2 linked regions of the Nothobranchius furzeri genome follow. The protein of the gene in region 2 interacts with the protein of the main gene of each other region in a pairwise test. Links are inferred from orthologs where the notes say so. Each region holds a gene or a part of one and is shown on either strand. Other genes may lie near its edges.

Evidence for each region. The genes of interacting proteins can lie anywhere in the genome.
Region 1: the proteins of aptx (region 2) and xrcc4 interact in binary tests that used the Homo sapiens proteins (3 or more experiments, as listed by UniProt). The link is inferred for Nothobranchius furzeri from reciprocal best matches to the Homo sapiens genes APTX and XRCC4.

The regions. Positions count from the first base shown.
Region 1 is NC_091746.1:37,558,807-37,562,846, forward strand, and holds part of xrcc4 (DNA repair protein XRCC4), read right to left. Parts: intron 2,189-4,040; coding exon 2,022-2,188; intron 1,635-2,021; coding exon 1,503-1,634; intron 1,293-1,502; coding exon 1,141-1,292; intron 1-1,140.
Region 2 is NC_091746.1:79,988,840-79,991,655, forward strand, and holds the end of aptx (aprataxin), read right to left. Parts: intron 1,524-2,816; coding exon 1,420-1,523; intron 1,337-1,419; coding exon 1,182-1,336; 3' UTR 963-1,181; downstream 1-962. UniProt on the Homo sapiens protein: DNA-binding protein involved in single-strand DNA break repair, double-strand DNA break repair and base excision repair.

The sequences.
Region 1 (4,040 bases), about 42 Mb from region 2:
GAGACAGTATCAGAACTTACATACAGAGATGCACCCACAACGTGACTGGTGATCAGAATTGGCAGATATTCGGCGTGAGTCGTTATGAAACTCAAAAATATGATTTTCCCCTCCGGTCTGTGAATGCACCAGCGACAGATGCTAATTCACACCAGCAATCAGAGATTCATGAGGACTCTTTATTTGCAAAACATGTAAGGTGCTTAAAACAGATCTAGAGAACTCACAAGAGGTGTGAGAGGCAGACAGACAAAAATGATTTTTTACAGATCATTGGCTTATCATGTCAGTGCCATTAGAGAGCCGACACTGGCCCGAAGCACATACTGTAGGTGGTCATTCCACCCCAGCTTAATGTTCATGCTCAAAATGATTATTTTACCATTTAAGTCAATTATTTTGTTTTCAACCAATGCCAGTTGAGGTCAAGTATTTTTAAAAACCTAAAACTACATAAATTAAAGTGAACATTTTCAAAAATTTAAAGCACCCAAAGAACACTGGAGCATAAACCTGTAGGTGTGTTGTAATAAAGACCGACCGACAGACACATAAATAGCTGTCAGATGTTAAACAATACATCTGTTTATATATTTTTAATGTAAAGAAAATATCAGCTTAGCTGGATTATTAGATTTCCAGTTTGAGACAAAAACGTCTCGGTCATCTGCTCTATGTAAAAGATTTCATCAGTGATTATTTTATCTTGAATAAATAACTAAACTAGAAAATGTGATCTAGAATAAAAGACTGACACTGAAAAAACAACAATAGATTCTCAACAGATATTATTAATAGCCATATAGAGCCTTTCAACTTTAATCTGCTTCACTAGCTGGATTTATTTAACTGGAAACTGTGAACGCGTTCAAATATATATACCCAACTCCTACTTTACAAAACACTTTAAGAAACATTTGATCTTACCAAAATATCAGCAGGTTAGAGCTTTACAAGAATCTGTCCAGTAAAATCAAATCCCCCTCAATAATTTCAGTAAACTCGCATTTGCTGCTTGCTGGCAACATTCAGTTATCTGATAAAGTGAAATCATTAGTGAACACCTACCACTGGTGACACTAAATGGTTAACCAGTTGATCATATGAGTGTTCTGGAGAACAGCAAAGTGACTATCGTACCTCTGGAAGGTAGATCAGGAACTGGTGTTGGCTGCACGTCCTCTGGCTCTTCATCAGTGCTGCCTCCATACTCATCCTCCTCCACCTCACCACCCTGACCTGCTGTTTGGTCTGACTTTGCAGAATCTCTGCTCCTCTGTCCATCAGAAGTCCTGTGGAGGAGCCACATTAGAATGATACAAAGCTTTTTAGGTCACCGCCAAACTTAAAAAGAAACTCAGTGACTCAGAAAATGTCATAAATACAGAATCAAAGACATTTTTTGAGCATCTGAAGCTCTGAAGAAAATGTGAGGCACCTCAGCATGCTGAGTTTGTGCACCGATGGTAAACTTGTAAAGATGGTTAATGTGTAAAACGTACTTTGCTTCCTGCAGGTTTGTGACGGTTTCCTGCAAACTGCGGATCTTTGCTTTCTTCTCATTGAGGACCAGAACAAACCGAGAGTACAGCTCTGCCTCAAGGGCCTCTTTACCCTCAGAGTAGCCCTTCAGCCTGGAAGAGGAGACACGCAGGCGCACACACACACACACGCACACACACACACACGCACACACACACACACTGATTCTTATCCGGATATAATCTGACTATATTTGTGATCTCACATTTTAACCTGATAATTAAGAGGCTCACAGAGGACAGATAAGAGCTGGCCTCCAATAGCTGTTTCCCTCACGTGACATCTGCAGCTGTGTGAAACTCAAATAGGGGGTCGGAGTAAGTCATTCCGCTCTAAGAGTCGTTTTGTTCGCGACCGACATCACCAATTCGTAGCCTTTCAGTGTTTCTGAGCAATGGTACTGTCTGGCCTATATGTCACCTTGAAGCAGCGGGATTTGTTTGTTTGCTGTGCACGTGTGTGTGTGCGTATGTGTTTACTGTGCAGTGATGCTCTGGTGTTCTCGTCTCAGCCTCTGGTTCTCCTCTGTCAGTTTGTGGTTGCGCTGCTGCAGAGTGTTTCCTCGCTGCAGACTGTGGATCAGCACCTGCCTTACTGCCTCCACTGGCTCCGAGACGGCCTTCAGATGGACACAGCCCAGTCTGAACTACAGCAGACACAAATAAACCTTTATTTATTGAGTACGCCTGAGCCCGTAAAACAACGGTGTCTGGATCTGCACATCTACATTCATCCATAAAAAATAAAGCATCTCAAATGTATTCATTTCATGGATTTGGCTGATTGATTTGTTTTCTAGTTTCTTTGGTACATTATCAGCAGTAGCCATGGTATATGGGTCACTCTTTCTTTGAAAATGCTTGCTGGATTTAGACAAGTTTTATAAATTGCTTCACACTGCTTTTCACTACAACCCCATGTTTCTAAAGGATGGGAAGCAGTTTCAAACGTAAACTAAACCAGAATTAAATGATCAAATCTCATCAACCCATTATGATTGAATAAGTACTAATTACTGTTATATTTCATTATTCCTTTAATTCCTACTGTATAAAAAATATTTTGTATGTTATTTGTGCTGTAAAACATTTAATCACTACAGTAAAGTTAAAAAGGAGCCTAAGTCTCCTCCCTTTCCAGTCGGCTCTTGGGTCACCGGAAGAACAAAAAAATGAATGCAAGTCAACGGGGCTAAAAGAGCTATTTTCTAATCCACTTTGCCTTAGACCCTGGATCGCACATATGTTGTACTGCTATTTAAATGAAAAGTAATGTCGGGTGTTTCGACCACACCTGTCACATACTTTGAGATTTATCAGCTTGTAAAAGTTCATAATTAGCATGGCTACAAATCAGACATCAGCACGTTGCATATGTGACCTCAGAATCTCCTCTCCACTAGCGTAGCTGCTACTTACCACATGGCCATATTTATGGTGGTTCTTTCCTCCTGAAGGAAGGATTTGAAGTTTTCTGAACTTACAGCCATTTTCTCTCTGTTTTTATCCGTGCCTGGTTCGATGATGTCACTTTGGTGATTCACATTTGTAGTCCTGGGCTTATTTTCACACAAAATCTAAAATGGTGTTTCTCTCCGTTCGAAAATAAGCGAGTTCTTGGCATCAGACTGAGTCTTTAAAGTTCACGGACATCATATGTGAAATCCATGGTACATAACAAGCAGAAATAGAAAATAACTTGCATTCATTTTTTCTTTCTTCCAGGGACCCATGGTCCAGAAGTAGATGGGTGTGACTTAGGCTCCCTATCGGCGTCCACAATGCTACACCATTTTACCCTTACACCGTTTATAACAGACGTCTTTTCAAAATTTCAGTGTTTATATATAATAATAAGTATAAAGGAATGAATCAATTAAATAAATTGGACTTTGTCAGGAATGTAATCGTTCAAACATACCGGTATTATTACAACGCAACTTAATAGAAACGTGGTCCTCCAAAGAAGAGGCTGAGGGTGTTGACGAAAAAATGACAACCTGAGGAGGAATGTGTGCATGAGTGAAGCTCATATATCTTCATGTTGATGCCTCATGGTGTGGGTGAATGTCTGCAGGCATGTATTATTGGGGAAGTTGTGACTGAACAGGGAGAGCGGTTGTACACGTGGGCAAGATACTAAACTCAGAAAGTTACCATCTGAACAGCAGCTCACTGCTCCTCAGGGATGGGTCAGAGAGGAATTTCCCCAGTAAATGAAGACAATTTCAAAGATTACCTAAATTTGCAGGCATACTCGTTTTGATCAGAGTGGGATCATCTGATAGGAATACCTTTAATCTCAACTAAAGTAAAGCCTTTTTCTTGATTATTCCTTGATCTGATTCTTACTCAGGGGAGTTAAAAAAAACATCTTTCATTATGTATGATGTATTCTCACCTTCTGTATTTCTTCTGAGTGTTTCCTACTTGCCAGCTATTACTTCACTGCCTTATGGAAATGTTAAGTAAATAAACTCAGGCTGAAATGCTCCTTGA
Region 2 (2,816 bases):
TATTTGTACATCTTTCCTTCTCTTTTTTTTTACTGTGTTTATTGATTTTAAAATGTTTGTCTTGTGTCCAAATAAGATTTAATCAGTCAAAGGCGTTGATTACACATTTGCTCAGTTCAGGAACAAAAAAAACTCATTTATACCTATATGTGTATGGTTTTACCTTTGTGTCGGTCTAAACATGGCTTTTTATCTCAGCAGGTGAGAATCTGGTGTTAATACATTCGTGGGTTTGACCGTTGAATGGGCCATTGACTGTTTTAAACTTTCTTATGATTCTTTTGGCATTCAATTCATGAGTAGTCCCACGTAGAGCAATGATTTGGTACTTTATAATCGAAATGTCACAAACATCACATTAAACACTAGATGGAGACAAAGGAACAAAATGTCACTAAAATAAAACAACAAGCGCCTCTAAACGGCCCTTTTTGATTGGCAGCAAAACAACTGATCATCAAAATTAACGTGTATCATTTTACCAGAGATAATGCAGAGCTGAAAAGTATTGACACTGTATGTTAAAAATGACTTCTTGCTGAATTAGATGTAACGTTTTAACACAGGTGGAATTTGTGAATGTAATCTGGGCTCAGTGTGTTTATTATCATATTCTGTGTAACCCATTCACAGACTTGTTCTTTTTAATTAAGATTACTCACCAGCGTTTATTCTAAGTCTTCCTATTAGCTTTTAATTTTACATTTTAGACACATACCCGTGGTCGACGCTCCAGCTTTGCGCCATCTTGAAATAACAGTTGCTGTTTAGGGACACAAATTTGAACGCTTCGCGCGTTAGGATGATGTAACCTACAAAAACCAGCAGGGGGCAGCAATACACCGGCTTAGGTTTGCAGTTCCTCAAATTTTCTGTGATTCACTATTAATTAACTTTTGTAAATAAGGCAGCCATCTTTTAAAAATTCCTGAATATGCTTCATGTCGAGAGAAAAAACAGAATTTAGCTCTTAGATAGCCTTTAATGCAGCATATGTAACGATAATGGTAACAAAAACAACTTGGACTTAACTGTCCTAATGCCTGATGTGACACGTTGTTAAAAATTCAACTGAAATAATCGACACTTTTGTTATTTGAATATTTTTAGTTTTTGCTGAAACTAAACATTTTTCTACAAAATAGGAACAAAGAACTTGTAAAGTTCTTTAAACCAATGTGTCATTTGGAAAAGTGAGATTTGATGTGCTCCTTCAGAGCAGGTATGGTGGGAATCTCTCTGTGACACACGTGGCAGCGGAGATGCAGCTTCAACAGCTCACTGGTGCCTTCTTTAACCGTCACCCTCCCGTCTGTTTCAAGCATCCGGATGACGTCTGTAGGAAGAAAAACCCAGATGTGTGTTTTGGTTCGTCTTTCAAGACTGTTGAGCTACCAAAAACTCAATATTTGTTCTCACCGTGAGACGGCATGAAGTAGTCGGTTGTAAAAGAGTTCCAGTGTTTTTTGTTCTTCAAACAGGGAGAGTCGAAGTCCTGGCTGATCACATGGAGGTGAATGTGACTGAAACAGATTGTAGAATATTGATTTAAAGAGCAAGTCACCCCCTACCAGAGTTTTAAGCTTGGTTTATGCTTGATGCATTTACTTTCCGCTTGGTGATGCGGCTCGCGGATGGAACGCGCGTCACAACTCGCAGCGTTTATGGTTCATGCGGCTTGTCTCTGCGGTGAGCCAATATTCTCCCAAACTGTAGGGGGCAGCATGGAGCTCTACAGCATGCATCCAACACTACACCATAGTAGAAGTAGAAAGTACTGTTGTTTACAACATGGCATTCCAGCATTTTTTAACCGCGTCCTCGTCTTTTCCGACAGTGCGAGCTATTTCTCTCCAAGAATTATTAACAACGTGTTGATCACGGTGATCTCTGAGAGCTGAATCATACAAATGTCTGGATTAGGGTTGTCACGGTAACCGGTATAGCTGTAAACGGTAAAAAAAGTTGACAATAAAAATAACAGTCCAGTTTTTAAAAAACTAAATTATCTCGGTGGGTTTACCGTGGCCGCGGTTTAGGCGCGGTGACCCTTACCAGCCACCGTCGCTTCTGCTGAAGTTCCCGCGCACACGCACTTTTTAGTTTGCAACCAAAACTTTGAAGCTGAAATAACGGCCGAAGGAGGAGACGGCAGCGCCCAGGACATCCATCAGCCCTCAAAGAAGACTAAATCGGAAGTATGGGCATATTTTGGATTTCTGAAAAACGCTGAGGGACAGTTAATAGAAGACTGCTATCCCGTTTGCAGAAGGTGCAGGAAACAAGTGTCTGCAGAAGGCACTTTGAATCTAATGGCACATCTGTGTGACGATCACTCACGTCTCTACAGCCAGTGCAAGGTAAGTTAGCATTAGCATTTTAGCTTAAATGCATGACGTGAGGACTTTTGGTTGAGGGAGAATGCAACGAGTCACTATATGCTGCAGCCGCAGCGTCCTCTGCCAGCATTTAAACCGTGTCACGGACACCCTGTTGCTGGATGAAGCATCTTATTTGTTGATGATGAAGAGAAATATACAATTAGTTCCTTGTCATTGATTTGTTTACTTATTCAATGCCATTTATACTTGAACATTTGGATTTGATTACATAGTGTAGTAGTTATTTTAGTAATTTGTTTAAAGTGGCTATTTATTTTAAATACATATTTCTTAAGGTTGACTTGTACAGTGCTCAAGTCAAGTGTGGACTGGAGTTTTAGATTTTCATTTTGATAAAGAAGAAAACAAGTATATGAGAAAACAAGTGGTGTTTCTTTGATTTGTTTACATATTGTTTATGTTTCGAATGTTTGG